Linked DNA regions of Anolis sagrei. The protein of the gene in region 1 purifies or fractionates together with the protein of each later gene. This does not show direct contact. Links are inferred from orthologs where the notes say so. Each region holds a gene or a part of one and is shown in the gene's direction. Other genes may lie near its edges.

Region 1 (8,106 bases):
TCAGCAAGAGAGCTGAAGGTGTTACCTTGTTAGATTGCTTAGGTTAAAGAATCTAACAGAGGGGGTTTTAAGGATCGCCAGTAAGGAAAGACTGGTGATCAGTGGTTTGTTCCGAGTATAGGGCAAACAGTGTGGACATTCACAATAGGGAACTCTGGAATAGTATAAGCACTTCACTAAAGAAGGAGTTTGTAGATTTGTAACATTCAGAAGCCTGAAAGTATCTCAAACCAGCCATTTTGTAACATCAAGCCTTGTGCCAAGTTCAAACTCTCAAAACTGCAACAATTACGTTCTGTTAACAATAAAACTTGTTCTCTTTTTATTTCAAACCTGCCTCCTCCATTGCTGTTATGCTTGGTGCATTCCACACTACCAAAATCACCTCACAACCCAACTAAAGATAAACAGAGACATAAACCAGCGTCTCTAAACATATTGGTGGCAGCTTAATAGATATTTAAAAGAAGGTTCCTCACAGAATATTGGTGGCATTAAAGAAGATTGATGCTTCCTCACATAATTTTTGGTGGCATCTAGTGAGATTAGCGCTGCTTCTTTACATTTTTGTTGACAAGCGGTGGGATTAACGCTTCGTTACATTTTTGGTTGACAAGCGGTGGGATTAACGCTTCGTTACAGTATAAATTTTACGTAATATTTTAAACACTATAATAAAAAGAAACACTATGGGTTAGGGGTACGTAAGGTGAAGGTATTGTTGGGTTCTGGGGAGGAAGGGAAATGGAAATATAGGGGGAAACAAGGAAAGAAAGGAAAAGGGTAGATGCAGGGAAAAGGGGATGGGAGTGGAGAGTCTATTGACTTCCGATCTTCTTCGTAGTGGTTATATTTATTCTCAGTCTCCCCCCCCCCCCCCCCCAATTTGCTTCTCCTTTTTATTCCATCCTTTCCAGGAAAATTCCTGTCAAACATTAGATTGTTTTATATTTTCAAACTTTTTTTCTCTTGAGTCATATAATCTTTAAACAATTGCTAATCCATTCTTTGCTTTGGACTTCCTTGGTATTTTGACAATAATTGCATCAATTTATCCATATTCATAATTTCCATCACTTTTATTAGTCAATGTTGTACTGAGGGTATTTCTTTTATTCTCCAACAACTTGCGTAGACTATTCTTGCTGCTGCTGTTAAATTGTTGAATAGTCCATCCTTGTTTTCATCTATATTTATGTCCATTATTCCTGGTGAAATATATTCTAATTTCATTTCTATTTTTATATTTAGGATTTTTTGAGATGTTTCTTGAATCTCTTTCCAATATTTTTTTGCTTTGCTACACATCCACCACATGTGGTAGAAAGTGCTCTCTTGAGTTTCACTTTTCCAACATTTATTTTGCATGTTTTTGTACATTTTCCCCAATTTTTATGGAGTTATGGACCATTTCGTTTTAATTATGTTAATATTCAGTATTGTTTTAAGATTTTTTTTAACTATATGGATTTAGTGTGTCTTTTTTGCAAGTTGCCTTGAGTCCCCGCCTAGGGGAAACACAGGATATAACTAAAAGGATGGATGGATATTTAATCAGTTGATACTGCTGGAATCCTAGATGCACTGATGCACCCGAAACTTTGGGAAACCTAAAAACTGGTTAATATGGTAGTAGTAGATCTCTTTAGGGGATTTTATTCAATATTATGGTGCAGCTACATCTGCACATAGCTGAAAGATCTTGCACTTGTTAAAAGTTTTTGCTGGGACTGGATATGGTTAAATGTTTGCACTGACCTTTGTTTGACTGCTGCTTTTCTATATACATTGAGCCTTTTGCTGAAGTTTCTGTGTTAATTGCACTGTGACTCATACTGTATTTTTCATTTTTTATCATGAAAAAAAAACACCCCAGTTTCCATTCCTTGAACATAACGTTCCTTTCATGGAAAAAAGCTTTCCTGCTTCTTCCTTCTCTCACACCCCCTGAAAATGTCTCTCTTTGAGGATTGAAGGACTCTCTGGTATCCCTTACTATGCCTTCCAATTCTGTATCCAATTTTGGATCCCAGCCCAAGTGCCTAGTACATTGTATTTTTTAAAAAATTCTTTCCTCTAGCACAAATTACTTTTGAGGATAACTTTGTATACTGAATAGGATAACTTTGTATACTGCATTTTTACCTTTTGAACAGCAGATGCCAGCAGATATCTTCTGAATTTAAAATAGAAATGTGGCCAGCGCTGCCATAGCAACAACTTCCTCTGGGCGTTGTTATTTATAGAAACATTGCTGCCTCATCTTTACATTGCTCTCTTGCTAAAGAAAGACTTCCTCAATGGCTTTAAAAAGCTCTGTTGGCGAGATACAGGGTATGGTTAGTCCTGAATTGATTTTAGCATTCTTTTGCATTAATTGTGTTTTTAATGTTTTATTTGATTTTAGTAATAAGCAGGGATTGAAAGAGCTACTTTAGACACTCCTAAGACCTTAAGGAGCATACACACTTTAAAAAAACTTTGTTTTTTTTCTTTAAACAGCAGTTGTCCCTCTCCACTTCATCTAACAACATTTCTAAAACACACAATCATCTAAAAACATTCTACAAAATACACATATAAAATATATTTCTACAAAATACGTATTAAAATATACAGAACAAAGATTAAACATAACATGCAAGCTTAAAAATTATGAATTAAACTGGTTGGGTCAGCCTGCTGGAAGAGAGGTCTTCAAGTGTATTTTAAATTGTGACAGCTAATCTCTCTGTCAGAGCTGTTCTGGCAGGTTGTTCCACAGTTGTGGGGTGGCCGATGAAAGGATCCTCTGGGTGATGGTCGCCAGTCAGGTTCTGGCAGGCTGAGTAGCCGCCCCTTAGAGGACCTGAGTGTTTAGGGTGGATTGTACGGAAGAAGGCGATCCTTTAGGTAATCTGGGCTTTAAAGATTAAAAACAACCCTTTGTACTTTGCCTGGAAACTAATTGGCAGTCAGTGGAGTGACTTTAGGATAGGTATAATATGCTCACTCCTGGATGTTCCTGGCTGCTGTATTGTGAACTAATTGGAGTTTCCGAATTTGGTACAAGGGTAGTCCAATGTAAAGCGCATTGCAGAAGTCCAACCTTGAGGTTACCGGCGCATACACTACCATCTTTAGGTCCTCCAAATCTAGGAAGGGGTGCAGCTGGAGGATCAGACAAAGTTGATAGTACTCCTGATATTTGAAGACACTGATTCAGAAGCACTCTCAAGCTGCGGGCAGAGTCTTTCAAGGGGAGTGTAACCCCATCCAGAACTGGTTAACATACCCCCACCCCAGATTAAGGTCCTTGATTGCAAACACCTCTGTTTTGTCTAGATTCAGTTTCAATTGTGTTTTCCTCATCCAGCCCATTACCTCCTCCAGGCATTCATTAGGCGATATCTGTTTAGTGTTCTCTGCTGATAACTATGCTAGGTATTTGCACTATTGACCATTTGTTGTTGTTGTTGCTGTTGTTGTGCGCCATGATGTTGTGTCTAATCTATGTTGTTTCCAACTTATGGTGGGGTTTTCTTGGCAAGATTTATTCAGAGGGGATTTGTTTTGCCTCCTTCTGAGACTGAGAGTGTGTGACTTGCCCAAGATCACCAGTGGGATTCCATGGCTGAGCAGGAATACAAACACTTGTCTCCAGAGTTGTACTCTAATGTGCAATTACTACACCATGCTGGTTCTAAATCCATGCAAAATTACAAGATTAGAACAAATTTACTTACAGTGCAATCTTGTACATGTCTGCTCAGATATCATCTTCACTGTGTATGCCCAGTGAAATTATGCAGTTTTGAGTACATAGAAAGCTCCTAAAATTCTTTCAGTAACTTATATAAAATTCTACTATTTGTTCAATATTTATCACATCTGAAAAGATGAATACATGTATTCTGTAAGTTGAAATATGAATATGTGCTATAGTAAAGAGAGAGTTGCAAACTATGGTACTTTATCTTGATTGTTGCTATATGAGAAATAGGAGGAAATAGAAACCACATATTATGTAATGAAATAAAGTGAATTATTTGGAGAGAAACAGGCTCATACATTAACACTTTTTGAAATGGACTTGTAATATGCTGAAAGTCATAAGCTCTTCAGAAGTGTATACAGTTAGCTCTCTGTGTCTACAGGTTCTGTATCCGTAGGTTCTTCATCCATAGATTTAATCGCCCATGGATTAAAAACATTACTATACCATTGTATGTAGTGGAATTTGAGAACCCCCAATTTTTGGTATCCATATGGGGTTTGGAACCAAACCCAGTGGATACCAAGTGTCCATTGTATCATCACAAATATGGGCTTCTCAGATCTGAATGATGTACATGGAGGAGTCTAAAGATTATTTTACATAAAATCTTCATACTATACAGTTTGTAGCCTTTTGAGTAAGTTGACATAAAAGCATTCCATTCATTCCCCAGATTGTTCAAAATATATTTCTCCTTCTTACACTATATGTAGCAGAAGCCCATTGTATGATTTAATATGGATAATAACTTTTTCCAAAAGTTAAAATTCAACACAAACTCTTTTAGGTATATAATATCCGTTTATGCATATAGATGTCTGCATAATCAGTTTTCTAGTGCCCTTTTTGAATTTAACAAGTGTGTTTGTTCTCAACATCATGTGGCTTGTTTGGGAAAGAGGGAAAGCACGCAAACAAGTCATGTTGCCCCCCCCCCCCCCCGTCACCACACTGAGCTGATATCGAGAGCCTGAGAATAGCTCTTGAAGTTGGTTTTATATTAACAGGAAGCAGAACAACAGTTGTGGCTAACGCACTGCATACAGGAAGTCTGACACATGCACAGCACTTGGCTTTGAAGTTGAATTCTTAAGTTTGGAGTTATTTCTTTCTTTTAACACACAAACTAAATGTGTATAGATGGCTGCTCAGAAGGAGTTACAGGGCAACCCAAGCACAGGGACTGCAAATGCTTTGCAGAGACTGGAAGGATTTGCCAACAGGCTTTTTCACAGGCACTCCAAGGGTTCCTCCAACGAACTGAAAGCAGCTCAGGAAAATGAGTCTCCGCACTTCTCTGAACTCGCTGCACTGTGGGAGAGATCAAGTAAGTGTGTGGAGGTTACTTGGTTTGTAATGGCAAGTTTTAAACTGTGGCATACTAAATATAGAAAAATGTTGACAGCCAAACTGGCCTGTTAAATGATCAGCAGGTGGATCCAAGTCTGTAGTTCTGTTTCTTGAAACACTTGCTGGTGGTGGAGTAAAATTAATGATCAGACTTCCTTTTGTCAATTTATTCTTTTACATGATTTTACCTTGACGTTTAAATGCACATTTCTTTCAAGTTGTCTTTCTAAAGCAATACGATCCTGGCCTTTCATTGTTCACTTACCTTATATTATAACTTTCAGAGGAGGGAGCATGATCTAACAAATGGACATTCAGTCCAACAAGGATGGCAAATGTACTGAAGCAGGTCACATAGAAATCACTTTTTCCATTTAGGGCCCCAAATGGGCAATACTGGTACAGTGTGGAAAATGGGGTAACCAGGGTTGTAGCCAGTAAATTTCCTCTTGTTCTATACAGCCAGCCAATCTACCTTTAATTTTTTAGAAGACCTTAGTTATATTTTCTGCTATTACACTTTAAAAAATCTATAGATTGAACCAAGTCTCTTAATGACATCTGACTGGTTTGGATATTTGTTTTCCTTTTACATTCGCTGATATTTTAAAACCACAACTGCTTCATAATAACACATTAAAATATAAGTAAAAGCAGGATTTGGCAGCATGTAGTTCAAATTAATTAGTTATTTGTAACTCAGCCCCCTTCCACACAGCTCAATAAAATCTCACATTTTCTGCTTTGAACTGGAATATATGGCAGTGTAGACTCAGATAACCCAGTTCAAAGCAGATCTTGTGGGATTTTCTGCCTTGATATTCTGTCTGTGTGGAAGGGTCCCAAGTTTCCGATTATAGTAACAGAATTATAGCTAAACTACACTTGCAACTTACTAGCATCACTCCTTTTGCAGCATTACTTTATAGTCAAAAGATTGTATCTACTAAATGGCCAGATAGTTTCAACGCTGGGTCATGTTGTACTTTTGCAGCTACCTTTTGTTGTATTACGGCTCTTAAGAAAGCAAGAAGCTCCCAGGGAAAATGGTGTTTTGCACTACAGACCAGAGGTTTTAAATATTTGTGTGTTTGTATTTTTAAAGTATTTTCTGCTGTTGTTTTTGAAAATTCAAAAAGTACAATGAATACTTTTTGTCTTTTAATCATATAATTGTTACTAATTACGTTGAAATTATAAAGACTACTCTTAAAAAAGTAGTTTTCCAAGCTAACTAAAATGCATTAACTTTCCAAAACAAAGTGCTGCTGTTTACCAGATTATTTTGTTCTAAATTTAGTTTGCTACAATTACTATATCATTCCTCAAAGGAGTACAATGTCACTTTAGCTTTACTCTAATCATGAGATATAAATTAGCTTGAGAGAGGGAGAGAAAGAGTGAAAGGCAGTGAAAGCTCTTCACAGAAGTGGTTCTTAATGTAATATTTTATATTCAAATTTTAAACCACAGTGTCACGGAAAGTACTTTATACAATATTGATAATCCAGCCTCACATAGCAGTTTGAACATTGAACAGGGCTATAGGAAGACCTGGGTCTGAATTCCCAATTGGCCATGTAAGGAAGTCCATGTAAACCATCCCTGAACAAACTTCACCAAGAAAACCCCCTTGATAGGGTCACCACAAGTCAGAAATGCCTTGAAGGCATACAGCAACATTATTGACTATAATATTGACAATACGCAACCATAATATTTTCATTACAGATTTGAGAATGTAAACACTTACACCTATTTATTTATAGATGTAGGTATATTGATACCTTTCATTTTTTTGCTTTAATTTTATATACCAAAATAAAGAAGATTCTGCTTTGGTCAAACTCTGTTACAGAGAATTGAGAGTTTGTTTGGTTTTCGTTCTGGGTTTGGAACAACTTAGTCAGCCTTCCTTATCGATGGATTCAGTATCCATGGATTCAACCAACTGTGGCTCAAAAATATTCCTAAAAATAATAAAATTTCCAAAAGCAAACCCCAATTTTGCCATTTTACAATGCCACTGTACATAATAAGAAATGAACATCTATAAATATTGGTGTCCATGTGGAGTCCTGGAACCAAACCTCTGCCCAATATGTTTACATTTACATTAAAATTAGTTATGAACAATAAGGGTAATGCTTTTACATATACACATTTGTCAATGTTATTTTAAAATAACCAATTGATTATATAGTAGACTTGCAGTTATCCAACATCCATGGGGATGGTCAATGCCAGATAAGCATAGTTTCTGGTTGCTTGAGAATTACTAATAAAGGTAGGTTTAACTAATACTATACTCAATGCCATACCCTACCATAAACTCTATATTGACTTGGTAATAGGTTGGGGCATTTGGGGGTCTGAAAATGAAAAGCTGTTTCTTTCGGCGATGCAGAAGATTGGGCCATGTTAATCTTACCTTATTAGCTGCATACCAACACAACAGCATTGGAATTTTGGAATTTATTGCCATTTCTGGAGATTTTACATGCTTCCTTCTTTTCTCCATTGCTTTGTCAGAAATTGATGTTCGTGAGAAATAGCTTAACAAGAAAATTACAGATGTTTTCCTGGGAGAAATCCCGGTGTATATATATCCACCAAAATAATGTAAAAATGGGTAAAAATCACAATCTTCTAAATTTTTCAGGACAAAATTTAAAAATCACAAAGGAGAAGGCTGGGCTCTTGTGTCTAATTTAATGTATTTGCCACTGAAATATTTCTGTTTATCTGGGGCTGCCAGGATTAAATGATGTCAATGTTGTGGCCTGTTGTTTTTTTAGAGGAAAATGGGCACTCAAAATGAAAAAAAAAGCATTCGAGGAAAGCATTTCACAGATATTTTGGATTCTTGCAGGGGTTTTTTTTTTTTTTAACTTCTGCCTAGAACTCCAACAGACTGGGTAAAACGTGCTTATGTTCAAGATTAGTGCCCTTGATGGCTCCTGCCAGGAATATAAACATGCAGGTATGGAGTGAGAGAA
Region 2 (7,502 bases), on another chromosome or scaffold:
GGAAAGGTTGACGATTGCAGTAGCCTGCCAACAAAATCGACATGCCCACTGGGAAGAGAAATACAATATATATAGCCTTCAGATTCAAAAGTTTCCATGCCCCCCCCCCCTTGAGCTGGCTTTGTTATGATTGGCTGTGACATCAGCAAGCCAGGAGGAGACCCAGTGAGGGCTCTGACCCTGCTTTTGGCCGCTCAGCCAATGAAGTGGGAGGTGGGCAACAGGGAAACAATGAAGAAATGTCTAGTTGACTGGATTAAGGTGACTGGTGTTTGCCAAATGGCTGGGTGATAGCTTTAGGCTCTCAAGACTGGCCTAGGTTATTGTTTGATTCTGTGAATTAACATTCCTATCTAGCCCTGAGAGGCTAGGTTCTTTGTCACACTGTCCTGTGATATGGAGTTCATTGATGAAGTTGATGCTAGTTTCGGGAGAACAGGATGTGGCACAGCAGGGAGGTTGATGACAAATCCCCGGGTTCCTCACAGATGGAGAGATTTTTTTTTGTGTTGGGTGATCCAGTATGTCCATAGACTCCATTGTTCTGGATGGCCTGGCTATCAGCCCTCCGAGGTCCAGATAGATAGAGCCATTTACTTATTGTCCATGCAAATGGATCTGGTTGAGTCCTTTTTTAGGGGACTATCAGCCCAGGAAGTTTGGAAACTCCAAGAGCCATGAGTTGCTGGATCATGTAAAGGTTGTTTTCCTTAATATTTTCTAATATAGACATTAGGCCTGTTTGATCAAGAAAAAAATTGTTTCTAAAATCGATTTGTAATTGGGGTGTTTTTTTGTTTCGATATTTAAAATATTTACAAAACTTTCCAAAAAAATGTTTTGTTATTTACGAAATTTCGTAAATATTTACAAAACATTTTAGAAACAAATTTTTTCTTGATCAAACAGGCCTAGTAAGTGTGAATGTTGCAGTAATGGTCACCTTGATTAGCATTGAATGGCTTTCATTTCTCCCACCCTGGACATTCCATAGATAAACTGAAACTCCATTTGCCTAGTTTCCAACAGACCTCTGAGGAGGCCTGCCATAGATGTGGGCAAAATGTCAGGAGAGAATGCTTCTGGAACATGGTCATACATACAGCCCTGAAAACTCACAGCAAAAGAGCCTGAAAACTCACAGCAAGAGCGCCATCCGATCGGCTCCGGCTCCTGCGCCCTCCTCCTCCTCCTCCTCCTCCTCCTGGCACTTCCTGCAACACAGCTGGGAGGAGGAGGAGGAGGAGGAGGGCGCAGCAGCCGGAGCCGATTGGATGGCGCGCGCGCTCCTGCGCCCTCCTCCTCCTCCTCCTCCTCCTCCCAGCTGTGTTGCAGGAAGTGCCAGGAGGAGGAGGAGGAGGAGGGCGCAGGAGCGCGCGCGCCATCCAATCGGCTCCGGCTGCTGCGCCCTCCTCCTCCTCCTCCTGGCACTTCCTGCAACACAGCTGGGAGGAGGAGGAGGAGGAGGGCGCAGCAGCCGGAGCCGATTGGATGGCGCGCGCGCTCCTGCGCCCTCCTCCTCCTCCTCCTCCTCCCAGCTGTGTTGCAGGAAGTGCCAGGAGGAGGAGGAGGAGGAGGAGGAGGGCGCAGGAGCGCGCGCGCCATCCAATCGGCTCCGGCTGCTGCGCCCTCCTCCTCCTCCTCCTCCTCCTGGCACTTCCTGCAACATAGCTGGGAGGAGGAGGAGGAGGAGGAGGGCGCAGCAGCCGGAGCCGATTGGATGGCGCGCGCGCTCCTGCGCCCTCCTCCTCCTCCTCCTCCTCCCAGCTGTGTTGCAGGAAGTGCCAGGAGGAGGAGGGCGCAGGAGCGCGCGCGCCATCCAATCGGCTCCGGCTGCTGCGCCCTCCTCCTCCTCCTCCTGGCACTTCCTGCAACACAGCTGGGAGGAGGAGGAGGAGGAGGGCGCAGCAGCCGGAGCCGATTGGATGGCGCGCGCGCTCCTGCGCCCTCCTCCTCCTCCTCCTCCTCCTAGCTGTGTTGCAGGAAGTGCCAGGAGGAGGAGGAGGAGGAGGAGGAGGGCGCAGGAGCGCGCGCGCCATCCAATCGGCTCCGGCTGCTGCGCCCTCCTCCTCCTCCTGGCACTTCCTGCAACATAGCTGGGAGGAGGAGGAGGAGGAGGAGGGCGCAGCAGCCGGAGCCGATTGGATGGCGCGCGCGCTCCTGCGCCCTCCTCCTCCTCCTCCTCCTCCCAGCTGTGTTGCAGGAAGTGCCAGGAGGAGGAGGAGGAGGAGGAGGGCGCAGGAGCGCGCACGCCATCCAATCGGCTCCGGCTGCTGCGCCCTCCTCCTCCTCCTCCTCCTCCCAGCTGTGTTGCTCGCGCCGCCCCTTCACCCCGCCCGCCCCATTTACTGCTGGGTGCTTGGGAGCGCCGGATTGGCTCCCAGGCACCAGCAGCACAGCAGCCTCCATCCCATTAACGAGACGAGCTGAAGCTCGTAAAAAAAATGGGGCTGCTGTTTCGATATTTTTAAACCCTTCCGGGTTTGAAAATATGTTTTGAAATCGCGTCGGATATGGTAAAAATAACGATTAAATTACGAAATAACGAATTAACGAACTAAAACCGACAGGCCTAATAGACATACATAGATGCAGGGGATGGGGGTATGGGAGCATACATAGAGTTTATGGGGGGAGGGGGAATCATGCAGGGTCTAAGGGGAAATCATGTAAGCCCCCCAAAAGCCCATAAAAGTTCATAATGTTTGGCAAAAGTTTATAAAAGTTCCCATAAATTTCATGAAAGTTCATATGAACACATAAGAGTTCATGGGGGTGGGTGCATGGAAGTTCAGGGGAGCACTGAGTAGTCGGAGTCCATTCATAAAAACAGGAGGAGAGATAGGGGATTATGGGATCATTCCAGCCTGATGCCCTTGGCAAAACTATGAATTCCCTAATTTTGAACTATTTGTTCAGAATTCCGGGGGTGGGGTAGGGGTGGGTGGGGGGGCGGGTGACCTCCGATCACAGCCCTATATACCAGAATATCAAGGCAGAAAATCCCACAATATCTGCTTTGAACTGGGTTATCTAAGTCCACACTCAGATAATGTGGCATTTTCTGCCTTGATATTCTGGGATAAAGGGCTATGTGGAAGGGCCCTGGGAATATGGCAATGAGGACTCAGATAACCTAGATCAGGGGTCCTCAAACTAAGGCCCAGGGGCCAGATACGTCCCTCCAAGGTCATTTACCCGGCCCTCGCTCAGGGTCAACCTAAGTCTGAAACTACTTGAAAACACACACCAATAACAACAATCCTATCTCATTAGGCAAAAGTAGGTCCACACTTCCCATTGAAATACTAATAAGTTTATATTTGTTAAATTTTTTATTTTAATTATTGTATTGTTTTCAAGTGTTTTTTGCACTACAAATAAGATGTGCAGTGTGCATAGGAATTCATTCATGGTTTTTTTTTCCAAATTATAATCCGGCCATCCAACAGTTTGAGGAACTGTGACCTGGCCCTCTGTTTACAAAGTTTGAAGATCCCTGGCCTAGATTTTGAAAGCCACTCTATAATGATATAGAATCAATACCATTGGCATATCATGTTGTTCATTCGTTCAGTCGTCTCCGACTCTTCGTGACCTCATGGACCAGCCCACGCCAGAGCTCCCTGTCGGCCGTCACCACCCCCAGCTCCTTCAAGGTCAGTCCAGTCACTTCAAGGATGCCATCCATCCATCTTGCCCTTGGTTGGCCCCTCTTCCTTTTGCCTTCCACCTTCCCCAGCATAATTGTCTTCTCTAGGCTTTGCTGTCTCCTCATGATGTGACCAAAGTACTTCAACTTTGTCTCTAGTATCCTTCCTTCCAGTGAGCAGCCGGGCTTTATTTCCTGGAGGATGGACTGGTTGGATCTTCTCGCAGTCCAAGGCACTCTCAGCACTTTCCTCCAGCACTACAGCTCAAAAGCATCGATCTTCCTTCGCTCAGCCTTCCCTAAGGTCCAGCTCTCACATCTGTAGCTTACTACAGGGAATACCATGGCTTTGACTAGGCAGATCTTTGTTGCCAGTCTGATGTCTCTGCTCTTTACTATTTTATTTAGAGTGGACATTGCTCTCTTCCCAAGAAGATTTCATCTGATTTCCTGGCCACAGTCTGCATCTGCAGTAATCTTTGCACCTAGAAATATCATATAATATTCTAATATATGTTACTTTGCACACAGATCTGCTGATATTAATGAAATGTTGGTCTTTTAAGGACTAACATTGTAACGCAGGCATGGGGCAAACTTGGGCCCTCCGGGTGTTTTGGACTTCAACTCCCACAATTCCTAACAGCCTCAGGCTTCTTCCTTAAACGGCTGAGGAGGAAAAGGAAGAGGCCTGAGGCTGTTAGGAATTGTGGGAGTTGAAGTCCAATACACCTGGAGGGCCCAAGTTTTGCCCCAAGCCTGCTGTAACGTGTTGCAGTGAAGGCCCCAGGTGTGTCCTCTTCCTCAGCCCGGGCCCTGGCAGTGGCACCTCAAGGGCGCTCCTGCGCATGCGCGGTACGTCAGGCGACGCGGCGGGGGCGCGTGCGGCAGATGGAGACTGAAGGGGGCCGCGGCGGCCGCCGTCCGGAGAGGCAGTTGGGGATGGAGGCCACGAGTCTCGCGAGAGGAAGTGGCGAAGGGGCCCCAGCTGCGGCGGCGAGGTGGTTTGGGCTGCGGTGAGGAGGGCGCGGCGGAGGTCTGAGGCAATTGGCCGGCGGCAGGTAAGGCGGCGGCCCCTCAGAAAGACGAAGGGAAAGGAGCCCAATGGTGGCGGCCGAAGGAAGGAGGCCTGTCAGGCCCCGCATGCCTCTTCGCCCCATTTCCCTCACGGGTTATCTCTCTCTCACACACACACACAGCCCAGGGAAGGTTAATACTTGACCAATGCCCAAAGGAAGGATTTCTGAGGCGGGCCGTTGAGGCGTTTTTAGGTCGCTTGGGGCCGGAGTCAACTCCCAATTGCTTCGGCCACGAAGGGGTTACGGGCTGCCAGGCGTTTTGGACTTCAACTCCCAGAATCCCTGAGCGTCGGCCTAGGCAGCCAAGGCTTCTGGGAGTTGAAGTCCAATACCCGCGAAGGAACAGAGTCTGACAGCCTCTGACAGCTTGTCTCACAGCTTCGCCTCAGGATACAACTTTAGTAATAATAACAACAACGACAATAATAACAACTAGCTGTCCCCTGCCACGCGTTGCTGTGGCCCAGTCTGGTGATCTGGAAAATAAAGTGACGAGAAAGTGTTGGTTTCTAATATATGTAATTTCTTTCTGCTTGTGGGTAAACAGTATTTCTTCTTGTTTCTTTGTCAATATTGGTATAGAGATTGTCTGGTCTGCCTTCTCTGGAACATGCAACATATAATTGTCCTTCTTTAGGGGTCCCTTTCAAATCTAGGATACAATATCTGTGTGTGTGTGTGTGAATCATATATATCTATCTATATCTTGGCCCCCCCGGTGGCGCAGTGGGTTAAAGCACTGAGCTGCTGAGTTTGTTGACCAAAAGGTCGCAGGTTCGATTCCAGGGAGTGGTGTGAGCTTCCGCTGTCAGTCCTAGTTTCTGCCAACCTAGCAGTTTGACAACATGCAAATGTGAGTAGATCAATAGGTACCGCTCCGGCGGGAAGGTAACGGCGCTCCATGCGGCCATGCTGGCCACATGACCTTGGAGGTGTCTATGGACAACGCTGGCTCTTCGGCTTAGAAATGGAGATGAGCACCAAACCCCAGAGTCGGACACGACTGGACTTAATGTCAGGGGACAACCTTTACCTTTTTATCTGTGGCTAGATGGCTCTTTATCAGGAGGGCTTTGAATACATTTTCTTGCCCTGGTGAAGGGAGTTGGACTGGATGCCCTTAAGTATGGGGGTTCTGTGTGGGAAGTTTGCCCCAATTCTGTCATTTGTGGGGTTCAGCATGCTTTTTGATTGTAGGTGAACTATAAATCCCAGTAACTACAACTCCCAAATGTCAGGGTCTATTTCCCCCAAACTCCATCTGTGTTCATATTTGGGCATATGGAGCATCCGTGCCAAGTTTGGTCCAGATGCATCATTGTTTGAGTCCACAGTGCTCTCTGGGTATAAGTGTACTACAACTCCCAAACTCAAGGTCAATGCCTACCAAACCCTTCTAGTCTTTTCTGTTGGTCATGGGAATCCTGTGTGCCACATTTGGTTCAATTCCATCATTGATGGAGTTCAGAATGCTCTTTGATTGTAGGTTAATTATAAATCCCAGGAGCTACAACTCCCAAATGACAAAATCAATTTTTTTTTTTAGTGAAGGACATACATTAGGTTGTTAGGTGTATGCCGTCCAAATTTGGTGTCAATTTGTCCAGTGGGTTTTGAGTTGTGTTAATCCTACAAACAAACATTACATTTTTATTTATATAGATAATAATAACTAGCCGTCCCCTGCCATGCATTGCTATGGCCCAGTCTGGTGATCTGGAAAATAAAGTAAAGAGAAAGTGTTGGTTTCTAATATATGTAATTTCTTTATGCTTTTGGGTGAGTAGTATTTCTTGCTGTTTCTTTGTCAGTGTTGATGAGGAGATTATCTGGTTTGCCTACTCTGGAACATGCAGACTGTGCACGTTTGGGACTGTGCAATGAAGCAGCGATAGGAACCTTTAGTATGCCAACCAAATTTGATATGGTTGTTCAGACAGTTTTAAGTAGTGGATTTTAATGTCAAGATAAGTGGTTTTAATGCTTTTGCATGTGTATGGTCTAATATGTTTCGGCATTGAATGTTTGCAGTTTATATGTTGTGCTACGCCCTGAGTCCCCTTCGGGGTGAGAAGGGCGGAATATAAATGCTTTAAATAAATAAATAAATAAATAAATAAATAATTGTCCTTCTTTAGGAGTCCCTTTCAGATCTAGGATACTATATCTGTGTGTGTGTGAATCATATATATCTATCTATATCTATGGCTGGATGGCTCCTTGTCAGGAGGGATTTGATTACGTTTTCTTACCCTGGTGAAGGGAGTTGGTCATGGGAGGCCTGTGTGTGACGTTTGGTTAATTCCATCATTGGTGGAGTTCAGAATGCTCTTTGATTGTAGGTTAATTATAAATCCCAGCAACTACAACTTCCGAATGACAAAATCATTTTTTTTAGTGATGGTCACTCCTTGGGTTAGTAGGTGTCTTGTGGCCAAATTTGGCGGCAATTCGTCCAGCAGATTTTGAGTTATGATGTCACTCAAAACAAACAGAGCATTTAGATAGATAGATAGATAGATAGATAGATAATAATACAGACAGAGAAGCCATTGGAATCCACAAGCGTGTGGACAATTTCAATAGAAAGGAGGAAACCATGAAAATAAACAAAATCTAGCTACCAGTATGGAAAAAAACCCCACTAAAATCAGGACAGGAAATAAAGAACAACACTCTGAAAAACAGGGGAATTCCAGACAAGAATCAACCAGGGCCAGCTAACATATCCCAACAAAGGATGCCCCAGGCAGCAACCAGCCAGGCTTTGA
Region 3 (7,802 bases), on another chromosome or scaffold:
AGTACCTGGCCACTTGGAATGCCTCTGGTGTCGCTGTAAGAAGGTCCCCCATTGTGCATGTAGCAGGGCTCAGGCTGCATTGTAACAGGTGGTCTGTGGTTTGCTCTTCTCCACACTCACATGTCGTGGACTGTGGCCCCATTTCTGAAGGTTGGTTCTGCATCTCATGGTGCCAGAGCACAGTTTGTTCAGCACCTTCCAAGTCACCCCAGTCTTCTGTGTGCCCAGGAGGGAGTTTCTCATTCGGTATCAGCCATGGCTTGAGGTTCTGGGTTTTAGCCTGCCATTTTTGCACACTTGCTTGCTGGGGTGTTCCTACAAGTATCGCTGTAGATCTTAGAAAACTATTCCTTGATTTAAGGCATTGGCGTGCTGACTGATATCCAAACAGGGGATGGGCTGGATATGTTGATGCCTTGGTCCTCTCATTACTGGCTGCTACGTCCTGGCAGATATCAGGTGGTGCAATATTGGCCAAATAGTGTAATTTCTCCAGTGGTGTGGGGCATAGACATCCTGTGATAATGCGTCATGTCTCATTAAGAGCCACATCCACTTTTTTAACATGGTGAGATGTGTTCCACACTGGGCATGCGTATTCAGTAGAAGAGTAGCAAAGAGCAAGGGCAGATGTCTTCACTGTGTCTGGTTGTAATCCCCAGGTAGTGCCAGTCAGCTTTTGCACGATATTATTTCTAGCACCCACTTTTTGCTTGATAGTCAAGCAGTGCTTCTTGTAAGTCAGAGCATGGTCCAGGGTAACTTCCATGTATTTTGGTGTGCTGCAATTCTCTAGTGGGATTCCGTCCCAAGTAATCCTCAGAACTCGAGATGCTTGTCTGTTTTTTAGGTGAAACACACATGGCTGCATTTTAGATGGATTAGGAATCAGCTGGTTTTCCCTGTAATAAGTAGTAAGAGCACCTAAAGCTTTGGAGAGATTCTGTTCAATCATTTCAAAGCACCTTGCTTGAGTAGTGATGGCACGATCATCAGCATAGATGAAACTCTGTGCCAATTAAAGTGAGCATTCAAAGCATTAGAAAGAGGGGGAAATAATAGAATCCTAGAACTGGAAGAAACCCCAAAAGTATTGTCGAAGGCTTTCATGGCCGGAATCACTGGGTTGTTGTAGGTTTTTTCGGGCTATATGGCCATGGTCTAGAGGCATTCTCTCCTGAAGTTTCGCTTGCATCTATGGCAAGCATCTTCAGAGGTAGTGAGGTCTGTTGGAACTAGGAAAATTGGGTTTATATATCTGTGGAATGACCTGGGTGAGACAAAGGACTCTTGTCTGCTGGAGCTAGGTGTGAATGTTTCAACTGACCACCTTGATTAGCTTATAATGGCCTGACAGTGCCTAGAGCAAACTTTTGTTGAGGGGTGATTAGATTAAACCCCAAAAGGCCATCCACTTGAACCCCAAGAAAGAATATACAATCAACGCACTCCTGACAAATGGACATCCACCCTCCAATAAAGAACCTCCAAAGAAGGAAATGCCACCACACTAAGGCAGCATAATCCGCTGTTGATTGTGCAACAGGAAGTTTTTCCTAATATTTAGGTGGAAACTCTTCCTGCAATTTGTATCCATTTCTCCATTGCTAGTCTTTGCAGCAGCAAACAAACTGACTGCATCTCCAATATGATGGAGCAATTACATCTTGCAAGAAGCCCTTGGAGATTCCTTTTCAGGAGACTTTTGATAACCTATATATGTGCAGATGCACCCATATATGCACCTATATGGATACATCTACACTTTAGAATGAATGCAGTTTGGCACCACTTTAACTGTCATGATTTAATGCTCTGCAATTATGGGGTGTGCTTTTTTGTCAAGTTCTGTACAGGTAGCACAATAATTAAAAAGTTTCTGGAGCAACTTTGAAACATACTCTCCCCAAAAAAGGAGTTCGTGTGTAGGCGATGGGGCTTGCTATATATAACTACCTAGCTAACGGAGAGCAGAAAATTCATATAACAATTACTTGATTGTCGTTGAGTGTAAAAAGCTTCAGCGACTGTATGTTCCCCTGCATTTTATTTCTATTTAAATATTGTGTTGGAACTGGGAAAACTGATGTTTGCGGGGCCTTCAAGACAAGGAGCCAGGCTGTGCCAAAAGGTCGGTTTCAAGGCACTAATTTTTCACACCATGTGCTGAACCACTAAGGAATAAATCAGAAAATATTGGCAGCCCAAGACATCAGAGAGGTTGCCACTTGTGTGCCTGCGTGATTTATTGCTCTGTTTCTACCCCAGCTTTCATCCTTTGCTCCCTGAAGAAGAGCTGGTAGTAATCATTCTTCTGTGTTACAAATACTCCAACCATTTCCAGAATGAAAACGGCACCGTTATTTATCCATCCTCATTGCTTGCTGTAGGAGCCCCTGATGGTGCAGTGGGTGAACTCTTGTGCTGGCAGGACTGAAGACCGACAGGTCGCATGTTTGAATCTGGGGAGAGCACAGATGAGCTCCCTCTGTCAGCTCCAGCTCCCCATGTGGGGACATGAGAGAAGTCTCCCACAAAGATCGTAAAACATCAAAAACATCTGGGCAATGTCCTTGGAGACAGCCAATAGGATCACAACCTATCGGGGATTATGGATTACGCTGAACTGGATGAATCTTTACCAGTAATTGTAATTGTAAAACCATAGCTAAATGTGTTATCAAAGGCTTTCATGGCCAGAATGGGAGCCCCCAGTGGTGCAGTGGGTTAAACCCCTGTGCTGGCAGGACTGAAGACCAACAGGTCACAGGTTCGAATCCGGGGAGAGGCGGGTGAGCTCCCTCTATCAACTCCAGCTCCTCATGCAGGGACATGAGAGAAGCCTCCCACAAGGATGGTAAAAACATTAAAACATCCGGGCATCCACTGGGCAACGTCTTTGCAGACAGTCAATTCTTTCACACCAGGAGCGACTTGCAGTTTCTCAAGTCGCTCCTGACATGAGGAGCTGGAGCTGATAGAGGGAGCTCATCCACACTCTCCCTGGATTCGAACCTGTGACCTATCGGTCTTCAGTCCTGCTGGCACAGGGGTTTAACTTGTGGACCAGTAAAATGAACAAAATCTGGCTACCAGTATTTTAAAAACTCTAAAATTATAACAGTAAATAAAGAATAACACTCAAACTCAGTGGAACTCCAGACAAGAAACAACCAGGGACAGCTAATCACCCCTCAACAAAGGATTCCCCCCAGGAAGTAACAAGCCACACCTAAAAACTGTCAGGCCACCAAATGCTAATCAAGGTGGCCAATTGAAACATTCACACCTAGCTCGGACAGACAAGAGTTCTTTCTCCCATAATGGATATTCCAGATATATAATTCCAATTTTCCTAGTTTCCAACAGACCTCACAACCTCTGAGGATGCCTGCCATAGATGCAGGCGAAATGTCAGGAGAGCATGCTTCTAGCATGCTCTCCTGACATTTCTCCTGCATCTATGGCAGGCATCCTCAGAGGTTGTGAGGTCTGTTGGAAACTAGGAAAATTGGAATTATATATCTGTGGAATGCTAGAAGCACGCTCTCCTGACATTTCTCCTGCATCTATGGCAGGCATCCTCAAAGGTTGTGAGGTCTGTTGGAAACTAGGAAAATTGGAATTATATATCTGTGGAATGCTAGAAGCATGCTCTCCTGACATTTCTCCTGCATCTATGGCAGGCATCCTCAGAGGTTGTGAGGTCTGTTGGAAACTAGGAAAATTGGAATTATATATCTGTGGAATGCTAGAAGCATGCTCTCCTGACATTTCTCCTGCATCTATTGCAGGCATCCTCAGAGGTTGTGAGGTCTGTTGGAAACTAGGAAAATTGGAATTATATATCTGTGGAATGCTAGAAGCATGCTCTCCTGACATTTCTCCTGCATCTATGGCAGGCATCCTCAGAGGTTGTGAGGTCTGTTGGAAACTAGGAAAATTGGAATTATATATCTGTGGAATGCTAGAAGCATGCTCTCCTGACATTTCTCCTGCATCTATGGCAGGCATCCTCAGAGGTTGTGAGGTCTGTTGGAAACTAGGAAAATTGGAATTATATATCTGTGGAATGCTAGAAGCATGCTCTCCTGACATTTCTCCTGCATCTATGGCAGGCATCCTCAGAGGTTGTGAGGTCTGTTGGAAACTAGGAAAATTGGAATTATATATCTGTGGACTGTGGCCATACAGCTCGAAAAACCTACAACAACCCAGTGATCCTGACCATGAAAGCCTTGGGCAATACATCAAAGCAGGAAATCTAGGATCAGATCCTGGTATATAGGACACTGTAGTGTAGATCCATCCCTAGTTGAGGTGCTGCTGCCTGGACCTTGTGGGGTTTGGGCTCTGGCGGAGGAAGCAAGGGCGCTCCCTGCAGGAGGGTGGCTCTGCTGGGTTGTTGTAGGTGTTTTCGGGCTCTATGGCCATGTTCTAGAGGCATTCTCTCCTGACGTTCCGCCTGCATCTATGGCAAGCATCCTCAGAGGTAGTGAGGTGGCTCTGCTCTCCTTGCCTCCTCCTCCTCCTTCCTTCTTGGTCTCCTCCTCCTCCTCTTCCTCTCGGGAGCCAAGGAGGCGGATCTCAGCGCCGGCGCGCAAAGGCAGGAGGACCCCGAGCAGCATCCCAGGCAGCTCAGCCAAGAAGACTCCGGCAGGAGAGGCCGAGGAAAGGATGGAGAGGAGAAGCCGGGGAGCAGCAGGTGAGCAGGACATCGGTGTGGGCAGGGGAGCGGGAAGAGAAAGGACCCATGATTCCCACTCAATTCTTAAAAGAAGGGTGGGAAGAGAGGCTTGGGAAGCGTGGTGCAAGGGCGCGCACACATCCATCCACACACACTCAGAGACAGATCTATAGCTTGGGGAGAGATGGCTCTCTGGCGTGCAAAGCTTGGGGACGCACACACATAGATCCACACACATATATAGGTTGGGGGTAAAGTCACCCAGGGTCTGATGATTGAGTGGACTGGTCTTGGGCGCCATTGAAGGGTTTGGATTTTCCACACGCGATGCCAATGCATTCCCTCCTCTGTACGCCCGTATATAGGGTTGTAAAGGAAAGACGCAACGTAAATAGAGGCAGCATTCAATCTTTGTGACTTCTGTATGTGTGTGTGTATATATATGGAGAATCATAGAGTTGGGAGAGACCTCATGGGACATCCAGTCCTGTCCAACCCCCTGCTAAGGAACAGGAAAATCGCTTCTTGGCAGGGGCACTCCAATCTATCCACATACCTTGAGACAAGCACAAGAGGCAGGTGAGGGAACGGGGTTGCCAAGGCAAGCGATGGGGCAGGTGCCTTGGGTTGGCCAGGGAGGAAAGGGTGCAAGGCTGAGCCTGTGGGGTGTCTTGCCCAAAGGGAGAGGGGCGAAGAGGGGGCGCAGAGACCTTTCTGGTGCCAAGGGCGCATCCTTCTGCCTCGCCTCTCTCTCTCTCAATCTCTCTTTCCCTCTGCGCCAGGGCTTCTCTTCCTTTGGAGGCCGGGGAAATGGCTCTGGTGCCTTGCATCTGGGAGAAAGGGGCCTGCCCCGCTTCCGTGGGGTGCTCTCCTGCTTCAGTAAACCCCTCCCGAAGTCAAGGGAGGGAGGAACTCACAGCATCCAAGGGAGGAATCATCAAGGAGAGTGAGGATCACTATGGAGAGGGTGGCGCCTCCTGAGGAATAGGGTGCCTCTCTTGAAAGGGGTCAAGAAAGGGGTTTTGAGGGGCGGGAGAGTTTCCTCCCTTGTTGTTTCTGCAGCCCTTGAAGCCCTCCCTCACTCCCTTCCCTTTCAGCCTCAGTGGCCCTTCTGTAAAATAGGTTGAGCCCTTTTTTACGCAGGGTGCGCTTTGGAGAGATGGAGAGGAGACAAGCAAAGGGCGCATCCTAGGCAGAGAAGTTGTGCTTGTGTTGCCTTCAAGGCTGCACATACACCACTGGTTCCCAACCTTTTTTTGACCTAGAACCACTTGACCTGGGACCACTATGACCAGGGTCCACTCTCCAACATTCGAACCCAAAGAAGTGGTTCCCAACTTGTGGGCCGTGGTCCACTGGTGGGCCGCGAGTCCTAAAATAAAGTCAATGGTTCTAAATTATTAAATATGGTTTTCTGTGGGCAAACAGATGGCTGGACTGCTGGATGGCATGTGTTCTGTATGAGAAACCAGAGCTGATGTAGTCTATCCAATGCAATTTTCTGAATCAGCACCTCAAATAACCCCCAGAACAGTCCTAAAAACAATGACACCAAGAAAAATATTTTGTTGGTTGGGCTATGTTATTATTAGTGGATTTTGTTAACACTTGTGTTAAAAGGGGAGAGGGGACTAAGATTGAAAAAAACACAAAAAGCAGAGCGCAAGACCCAAGAAACTGTCCCTAATGGTTGCTTTAACAACTACTACTACTACTACTTTGGGGAACTTAACAGGGTCTTACAGGGGCTGTTTTCCCATTACACCTGATGTGTAGCAATGGGAGCTAATGGTTGTTGTTATTATTATTATTATTATTATTAATAATAATAATAATAATTTGGGGGATTAAATAGGGTTTTACAAAGGGCTACTTTCCCATCCATCTCTTGTATTTGACAATGGGAACTAATAATAATAATAATAATAATAATAATAATAATAATAATAATAGCAACTTTGGGGGACTAAACAGGGGCTTGAAAAGGGCTGCTTTCCCATTACAATTCATGTGTGGCAATTATTTAAATTTATTTATTTAAAACTTTTATATCCCAATCTTCTCTACCTCCGTAGAGGGACTCAAACAGGCAATGGGAGCTGCTGCTGCTTCTTCTTCTTATTATTGTTATTATTGTTGTTATTGTTGTTGTTGTTATTATTATTATTATTATTATTATTATTATTATTACTTTAGGGGACTCCCCTTCTCTCTCTTGATCTCCTCCAACAGTGCCAGGGAAGCTGTGAGAACGGTCCTGGCTTCCTTCCTTCCTTCTTTCTTTCTTTCTTTCTTTCTTTCTTTCTTTCTTTCTTTCTTCCTTTCTTTCTCTTCCTCTCCTTTTCTCACACTCCTCCAATACCAGCACACACCCCTTGCTGCAGACCTGTGAGCCATGGCCCATGGGTTGGGAACCACTGATCCACACTGTAGAATGAATGGAGTTTGGTAGCACTTTAACTCCCATGGCTCAGTGCTTAGGAATCCTGCAAGCTGTAGCTTCCCAAGACCTTTAGTCTTCTCTGTCAAAGAGTGCTGGTGCCCAACCAATTTGAGGATCCTAGGATTCCCCAGTTGAGTCATGGCAGTTAAAGTGGTGTCAAGTTGCATTAACTCCATAGTATAAATGCACCTCAAGTCCAGTCTGACCCTATGCGTGGTTTTTCTGAGGCTGAGAGGGTGTGACTTGCCCAAGGTCACCCAAGGGGTTTGCTAGGGTCCGGATGCTGTGGGCTGCAGCCCTTTGTTTCCTCTGCCTGGAAAGAGTCCTTCCTTCTTGCTGCAACTGCAAAGCTCCTGGAGCACTTTATGCATTTCCAAGAGGCTGGAATAGCAGCGACATGTGCAGTATGTATGGAATGATGACAGGCAGGCTGTTGGGGAGGGAGTAATTGGGATTTTGGGTCATTGTATGTATTGTCGAAGGCTTTCATGGCCGGAATCACTGGGTTGTTGTAGGGTTTTTTCGGGCTGTATGGCCATGGTCTAGAGGCATTCTCTCCTGACGTTTCGCCTGCATCTATGGCAAGCATCCTCAGACCTCACTACCTCTGAGGATGCTCGCAATAGATGCAGGCGAAACGTCAGGAGAGAATGCCTCTAGACCATGGCCATA
Region 4 (8,195 bases), on another chromosome or scaffold:
CTCAATATAATGAGCAATCATGTGATTTAAGACAGCTTCCTTTAGAATAATGTGATGTGGTTCATGGACAAAGTCTTCTCTGAATATTTCACACATAAAGAGTCAAATCTATTTACATGTGCAGTTCGCATGCTATAGCCATGTCTTCTTAATTTGCTGAGCACAGGAATGCTAAATGTGTTGATGAATGCACTTAGCTTGCAAAATTATAATTTATCAAGTTATTACGATGTTTTCTTTTTCTGTTTTAGAAATAATATTAAATGGAATTGGAAAAAAAGAATGAATCACCTAGTAAATAGTTTTATACATGGGGCATGTGTGGAACACTTGCATGGTGAAATAAGTTCCCCATGACTGATATGGTATTACATTCGTTTTGGCCGCCATAAGTTTCATCTTAGAGAAAACTTAACATCCACAGTCAATACTTTATAGTGCCTGTCAGCACTTTTTGCTTATTTCCCACCCACTTTTCCTGTCATTCATGGAGAGCTCTTTCAGTCCTAATGCATAATTTACAAAATCGCCTTCCTTATTCATTCTTTTTCTATCCTCTTTGCTCTTTGTCCATTCTGTTTCTTCTGTCTAGCGTTCCCTGAATGACCTACATTTCAAAGTCTGCATACTCTAGCCTGTTCTTTATCTCCCATGCTTCTTTATCTTCCTGCTCCTTAGCCTTTCTGCCTTCAGACCCTCTTTATCCTCTTTTTTTCGGATCCAAACAGCAACGTAATATTTTTATTTATTTTATTCATTATTTACTTTGTTTTATCTTGCCTTTTTCCCAATATAGGGACTCAAGTCAGGGCTTGGAACTTCTTGATTAGCAGAGACAATGATATATTTTAATTTTTCTCGTAATTCCTTCTAAGCTGAGCTGCTATCTTCCAAATGGCTAGAGCAAAAGAGCTTCTCCAACAACATATTGTCAGGTCCTTATGCTTTAATTTAGTGTGTTGATATGTACACAAGGGGCCACGGTGGTGCAGTGGGTTAAACCACTAAGCTGCAAAACTTGCTGATCAGAAGGTCAGTGGTCTGAATCCGTGAAAAGGGTGAGCTTCCGTTGTTAGCACCAACTTCTGCCAAACGAACAGTTTGAAAACATGCAAATGTGAGTAGATCAATAGGTACTGCTTCGGTGGGAAGGTAACGGCGCTCCATGCAGTCATGCTGGCCACATGACCTAGGAGGTGTCTATGGACAACACTGGCTCTTTGGCTGAGAAATGGAGATGAGTACAACCCCCCAGAGTCGGATACGACTGGACTTAATGTCAAGGAGAAACCTTTACTTTTACATGTACTCAAATATGCATACATATATCATAGAGGTGTGGAAAGCAATGGACACAACTGTATGAATTTTGGACCCCCTGGCAATGGGCATTTTGATCATCATGTGATGGAGGTTTATTTATTTATTTATTTACAACATTTATATGCCGCCCTTCTCACCCCGAAGGGGACTCAGAGCGGCTTACAAGGTATATATTACATACAATATTATATTATTAGCATAGTACAATATCAGCATTAAACATAGCTATATTGCACCATACTACTATAACATAATATTATTAGTAATATTACACATATTAATATATAATTATAATATCATATTGTTATTATATTGAATTACATTATAATATTATAAATATTATATGTATATACAATATATTATATTATATTATATTATATTATATTATATTATATTATATTATATTATATTATATTATTAGGATAGCACTGCACTTCTAGACATAGGCCTCTAGGCAAACTTTTCAATTCCCTTTCAGAATCTCATTTTCTGAGCAAACAAAATAATCAGAAATATTTCACAGCCAATAAATGTGAATTGTAAGTGTAAAATTAAATCTTGCTCCTCTGAAAATGGGACAGTTTTGAAAACTTAAAATAACAGCAAAAGTGTATTATTCTGTTTTAGATATTGATTTTACTTTATTTATCTGTGTGCAAGAGGGATATTCTCCTCCAAGTAAACAGATAGTAACCAAAGGAGATATTCTCCTCCAAGTAAACAGATAGTAACCAATAGTAACCAATTTTATAAAGGGGATATAGATTGCTCCTTCAATTAAAACAGAAAGTGTTTCTATAAATGATTCAAACAAAGGTTCTTGTGCAATCATTTAAAATTCATTCTAATGACAGTAATTCAATCCCATTAATTTAACAGGCTAATCTTCTGCAAAATTAAGCACACTTAGTCACTGAATTAATTGGCTTCATAAGATCAGGTTGTGATTCACACAAACCGTGGGTTTTATTTATCGATTGAACAAATTAATTAAGGACCTTTACTTATAGACCATCTTTCAGGGCCTCAATAGATTGGTATTACTAGGAAAATAGTTTTGCAGAACGGCAAACATAACTTTTCATTTGAAAAGTGATTCAAAATCATGAGCAACAAATAACTTGGTATTATTATTGCCACATCCTCATAACAACAAGCGGCCTTGTAGCTCTTTGAAAACTAAAACAATTATTATGGTACAGATTTTAATGAAAAAAGATGCCCTATAGTTCACCAAATGTTGTGCCATTAACATTGGTATTTATAGAGCCACAATAATCTTTGTTTGTTTTGTTCTAAGAGAATAAGATGGCCAGTGTTCTAGAAAATGTCACAGTTCACAGACGAAGGAACTTGACTGCGATGAACAGTCTGAAGCCACATTATCCTATTGCAAGTTTTGCAAGTCCTTGAGTACATCACAGTGTAGAATTAATGCAGTTTAATACCACTTTAACTGCCATGGCTCAATGCTGAGCCACGGCAGCAGTGTGTGCAAGTCATGTCAGAGTGCATTAATTCTACAATGTAGTGCGAACTTTGGCAAAACCTCAATTTCCAGGATGTTACCCTTGGTAACACCTTTATATGCTTTTATGGTTTTAACTTGAATTGTTTTAAATACCAATGACATTTAATACTGCTTTAATGCCTTATATTGTATATTTTAAATTGTATTGTGATACTTTTAATTGTGAGGTGGTCCCAGTGGTGATCGGCACATTGGGTGCAGTGCCTAAAGACCTTGGCCTGCACTTAAACACAACTGGCGCTGACAAAATTACCATCTGCCAGCTGCAAAAGGCCACCTTACTGGGATCTGCATGCATTACTCGCCGATACATCACACAGTCCTAGACACTTGGGAAATGTCCGACGTGTGATTCAATATAACAACCAGCAAAGTTATCTTGTTTGCTGTGGACTCGTCTTGTTGTGTTTCTAATAATAATAATAATAATAATATACAACTCCAGCTCCCTTGGTAAAACTAGAACTCTTGTGGCAGTTAAAAGAGTATCAAAGTGCATTCACTCTACAGTGCAGCGGCACCCTTAGTAAAACTATAACTCCTAGGATGGTAAAACTTTGTAAAACTATGGAACAGTACCAAATTAGAACTCTCGTGGAAGTTAAAGGGGTGTCAAAGGGCATTCACTCTACAGTGTAGAAGCCCTCTTAGTAAAACTACAACTCTCATGTTATCCTTGGAAAAAACTATAACTCCCAGGTGAAGCCACAGCTCTCTTGGTAAAAAGATGCAATAGTACCAAACTTGAACTCTCTTGGCCGTTACAGGGATGGCAAAGTGCATGGATTCTACAGTGTAGAGGCACCCTTAGTAAAACTACAACTCCCAGGATGTTATCCTTGGCAAAAACTACAACTCCCAGGCAAAGTCACAGCTCCTTTGATAAAACAATACCAAACAAGAACTCTCATGGAAGTTAAAGGAGTGTCAAAAGTCTACAGTGTAGAAGTGCTCTTAGTAAAACTACGACTCCCATGTTATCCTTGGAAAAAACTACAACTTCCAAGTAAAGCCACAGCTTTCTTGGTAAAACTAAGGAACAGTACTAAACTAGAACTCTTGTGGGAGTTAAAGGGGTGTCAAAGTGCATTCACTCGACAGTGTAGAGGCACCCTTAGTAAAACTACAACTCCCAGGATGTTATCCTTGGCAAAAACTACAACTCCCAGGCAAAGTCACAGCTTTCTTGGTAAAACTAAGGAACAGTACTAAACAAGAACTCTCATGGAAGTTAAAGGAGTGTCAAAGGGCATTCACTCTACAGTGTAGAAGCGCACTTAGTAAAACTACAACTCCCATGTTATCCTTGGGGGGGAAAACTATAACTCCCAGGAAAAGTCACAGCTCCTTTGATAAAACAGTCTCATGGAAGTTAAAGGAGTGTCAAAGGGCATTCGCTCTACAGTGTAGAAGCGGTCTTAGTAAAATTACAACTCCCATGTTATCCTTGGGGGAAAAAACTATAACTCCCAGGTAAAGCCACAGCTCTCTTGGTAAAACGATGGAAGAATACTAAATTAGAACTCTCTTGGCAGTTACAGGGGTGTCGAAGTGCATGCATTCTAGTGAAGAGGCGCCCTTAGTAAAACTACAGCTCCCAGGATGTTATCCTTGGCCAAACTACAACTTCTAAGTAAAGCTACTGCTCTCATGGTAAAACTATGGAACAGTACCAAACTAGAACTCTCTTGACAGTAACAGGGGTGTCAAAATACAGTGCAGAAGCGTCCTTAGTAAAACTACAACTCCCATTACACCACAACACTGAGCCATGGCGGTGTTAAAGCGGTGTCAAACTGCGTGACACCGAAAATAAACCCAAGGTTAAAGAAAAGCCACCCTGGGGGTCTGCCAAGGGACGCGAAGCTCTTTAAGGCGGTGCTATGGCAACGGCTGTCCCCGTTGCCGCGCTCCCTCCCGCCGCTCGGAGGAACAGCCTCCCTTCAGGTGGGCAGCGAACGGGAGGCGTTTGGGGGCGGGGCTGGGCCCGTGACGTCACTTTCCCCGGCCGCGTGTTTACGTGGAGGCGAAGATGGCGGCGCCGGTGGGTCCGCCACAGAGCTTGCTCTTCTCCTCGTAGCCGGGCAGAGCTGGCCTCTCTCGCGTGTGACTGCGGGGGGAGACGGGTAAAGAAAAGACGCTCGTTTTGGGGCCCTCAGGGCCACTTCCTCCCTTTACGGCTTTGGTCATAATCATAATAAACACTGTGGTCTCTCTCTTTTCCCGCCTCAGGGACCATGGAGGACGAGGAGAGGCAGAAGAAGCTGGAGGCTGGCAAGGCCAAGGTAAGGACTGGAGGCGGAGGAGAGGAAGGCCTGAAGCGACTTTGGAGGATCAGTACAGTTTGACAGAGCTTTAACTGTCATGACCCAGTGTTGTGGAAGGATGTCAGGCAGGCATGGGCAAACTTGGGCCCTCCAGGTGTTTTGGACTTCAACTCCCACCATTCCTAACAGCCTCAGGCCCTTTCCTTTTCCCCCTCAGCCGCTTAAGCGGCTTAAGCGGCTGAGGGGGGAAAGGAAGGGGCCTGAGGCTGTTAGGAATGGTGGGAGTTGAAGTCCAAAACACCTGGAGGGCCCAAGTTTGCCCATGCCTGATATTGCAAAATTATAACACCACATTTCTCTAGTATGGTAACATGGCAATTGAAGTGTTAAACTGCATTATTTCTCCAGTGCAGATGCATCCTCGATACCTAGGAAGAGAGGAGAGGGTCAAGGTTACCGGTCCATGTAATATAATGATTGCATTCTGACACCAGTTTAACTCAGTGCTGTGGGAATTTGGAAGTTGTAGTTCGATCGTAGAATTATAGAGTTGGAAGAGATCTCATGGGCCATCTCGTCCAACCCCCTGCCAAGAAGCAGTAAAATTAATTCAAAGCACCTCCAACAGATGGAATCATAGAGTTGGAAGAGACCTCATCCCGTCCAACCTCCTTCCAAGAAGCAGGAAAATTCATTCAAAAACACCTCCAACAGATAGAATCATAGAGTTGGAAGAGACCTCATCCCGTCCAACCTCCTTCCAAGAAGCAGTAAAATTCATTCCAAACACCTCCAAAAGATAGAATCATAGAGTTGGAAGAGACCTCATCCCGTCCAACCTCCTTCCAAGAAGCAGTAAAATTCATTCAAAATACCTCCAAAAGATAGAATCATAGAGTTGGAAGAGACCCCATCCAGTCCAACCCCCTGCCAAGAAGCAGGAATATTGCATTTAAAGCACTCCTAACAGATGGCCATCTAGCCTCTGTTTAAAAACCTCCAAAGAAGGAGCATCCACCACACTCCGGGGCAGAGAGTACCACTGCTGAACAGCTCTCACAGTCAGGAAGTTCTTCCTAATGTTCAGATGGAATCTCCTTTCTTGTAGTTTGAAGCCATTGTTCCGCGTCCTAGTCTCCAGGGCAGCAGATAACAAGCTTGCTCCCTCCTCCCTGTGACTTTCTCTCACATATTTATACATGGCTATCATGTCTCCTCTCAGCTTTCTCTTAAGGCTAAACATGCCCAGGTCTTTAAGCCGCTCCGCTCCTCATAGGGCTTGTTCTCCAGACCCTTGATCATTTTAGTCTCCGATCCTTAGCCTTTTCTGTCAAAGGGGGCTGATGCCTCACCAAACTACACATCCTAAAATTCCATAGCATTAAGTTAAACTTCTGTCAAAATGCCTTCATTCTATGGTGTAGATCAGGCATGGGCAAACTTTGGCCCTGCAAGTGTTTTGGACTCCAACTTCCACAATTCCTAACAGTCTACCAGCTGTGGGAGTTAGAGTCCAAAACATCTGGAGGGCTGAAGTTTGTCTATATCTGGTGTAGCTGCATCCATAGCTCTGAGAATTGTTTCACTGCAAAATTGAGTCATGACATTTAAAACATTTATATTGGGTTTTGTAGGAATTTGAGGTTCAGAGTCCCCTCAAATGATCTTAGGTTTGTGACATTATGTATAAGCTTATTCCATACACAACTTGCTTTGATATACCTATGTTGCCAGCTGGAGTTACGATAGTATTGAATTTTCTTCTCCCCACAAGTTGTTTGGGTTTTTTCATTGTCATCTGGGACTGACACCTGTAAAAGAAACCTGTGGTGCGGCATTTTGGTGTTTCTTTTATGACAGGATTGTGACTGGTGTTGAAATTTGTGGACAAAGTGTTGGGTGGTATGACGTTTTGATTGCATTTTTATTTTTGTTTGAGCTGTGACTAAATGTTGTTGAAATTTGTAACAAGACGTCTCATGTGATATGGCATTGTTATTGTATTTTTCTAACTCATCACCCCAAAAATATATCAATATTTGTGAAGGGGGAGTTTTTTCCCCATTGTAGACCTGTGTTATTGTAGGAGGGAGAGAGGCGTGCCTTGGCATCTTTCCCGTGCTGCGCTTTCTTTGTTTGGGGCTCTTTCTTTGTGCGTATATGCTGGAGGTGGTGGTAATGCTAATCGGTATACCGGGGTCCACCTTCTCATGAAAATGAAAAGCTGCAGAACAAGGCGCTTGCTTACTTGCCTGTATGTGTTGTAATGCGATTGGCTCTTGACAGCTGTTGCTGCTGGACAGAGACACAAGTGCATGCCTTGAAAATGCCACAGGTGCCAACTGGTGGCGGTGATTCTTCTTATTGCAGAATCAGACAATCTGATTAAGAGATCTTTAAAAGGCTTCTTGGAGGTGAAAAAGACTTCTTGGAGGTCGCATGTGTGCATAGCTCTCACAGGAATGAATGGTATTAAGAATGTATGAATCTCAGCCTTCTCAGGCATTGGAGCAGAAGTGCAATGCAGTCAGAATAAAACAGCAATGCAGACAGCATAGTTAGAAACACTATAGGCCAAAAGTAACACAATTCTAAGAAATGCAGTGTGAGATTTGCCACCATGCAAGTTCTCCTCCACACAATGGGCTGTCAGGCATGCCTGCGGCACCACCCCCAGCCCTTGTACCACGTGATATAGAAGCAGACTAACATTTGTATATCTGATTCTTGTGATCCACCCCCCTCAGTTAAGGGATAGAATCTATTTGTAGACACCTTGTGTCATACATTATAGTATATTTGATACTTAATGGGTTTTAAAAATGTCTGGATAAGCAAGCAAGTATATATACTTCATTAATGAACAGGGCATTCTACACAATAATTTTAAACCATTGTTCAGTTTTCTGGCTGCCCGCAATTTCTAAAAAGACTTATTATTATATGTAAAGTATTTCTGTAAATAATTTTTCCAGAATGTTTTGGTGTGTTTCTTATTTTGTTTGCCTTAATGTTGTTTCCAGTTTAGGGCGACCCTATAATGTGGTTTTCTTGTCAGAATTTCTTTGGAGGGG

Evidence for each region.
Region 2: the proteins of PRKACB (region 1) and AKAP11 purify together in Homo sapiens (affinity purification with mass spectrometry; 5 studies listed by BioGRID and IntAct, counting the BioPlex papers as one, with this or other methods). This does not show direct contact. The link is inferred for Anolis sagrei from reciprocal best matches to the Homo sapiens genes PRKACB and AKAP11.
Region 3: the proteins of PRKACB (region 1) and AKAP5 purify together in Homo sapiens (affinity purification with mass spectrometry; 4 studies listed by BioGRID and IntAct, counting the BioPlex papers as one, with this or other methods). This does not show direct contact. The link is inferred for Anolis sagrei from reciprocal best matches to the Homo sapiens genes PRKACB and AKAP5.
Region 4: the proteins of PRKACB (region 1) and AKAP9 purify together in Homo sapiens (affinity purification with mass spectrometry; 5 studies listed by BioGRID and IntAct, counting the BioPlex papers as one, with this or other methods). This does not show direct contact. The link is inferred for Anolis sagrei from reciprocal best matches to the Homo sapiens genes PRKACB and AKAP9.

What each region holds. Positions count from the first base shown.
Region 1 is NC_090024.1:155,447,675-155,455,780, reverse strand, and holds the start of PRKACB (cAMP-dependent protein kinase catalytic subunit beta), read left to right. Parts: upstream 1-4,882; 5' UTR 4,883-4,897; coding exon 4,898-5,084; intron 5,085-8,106. UniProt on the Homo sapiens protein: Mediates cAMP-dependent signaling triggered by receptor binding to GPCRs.
Region 2 is NC_090023.1:145,617,848-145,625,349, reverse strand, and holds the start of AKAP11 (A-kinase anchor protein 11), read left to right. Parts: upstream 1-4,494; 5' UTR 4,495-4,713; intron 4,714-7,502. UniProt on the Homo sapiens protein: Binds to type II regulatory subunits of protein kinase A and anchors/targets them.
Region 3 is NC_090021.1:330,256,616-330,264,417, reverse strand, and holds the start of AKAP5 (A-kinase anchor protein 5), read left to right. Parts: upstream 1-4,552; 5' UTR 4,553-4,705; intron 4,706-7,802. UniProt on the Homo sapiens protein: Multivalent scaffold protein that anchors the cAMP-dependent protein kinase/PKA to cytoskeletal and/or organelle-associated proteins, targeting the signal carried by cAMP to specific intracellular effectors.
Region 4 is NC_090026.1:102,885,510-102,893,704, reverse strand, and holds the start of AKAP9 (A-kinase anchor protein 9), read left to right. Parts: upstream 1-4,863; 5' UTR 4,864-4,980; intron 4,981-5,086; 5' UTR 5,087-5,091; coding exon 5,092-5,139; intron 5,140-8,195. UniProt on the Homo sapiens protein: Scaffolding protein that assembles several protein kinases and phosphatases on the centrosome and Golgi apparatus. Required to maintain the integrity of the Golgi apparatus. Required for microtubule nucleation at the cis-side of the Golgi apparatus.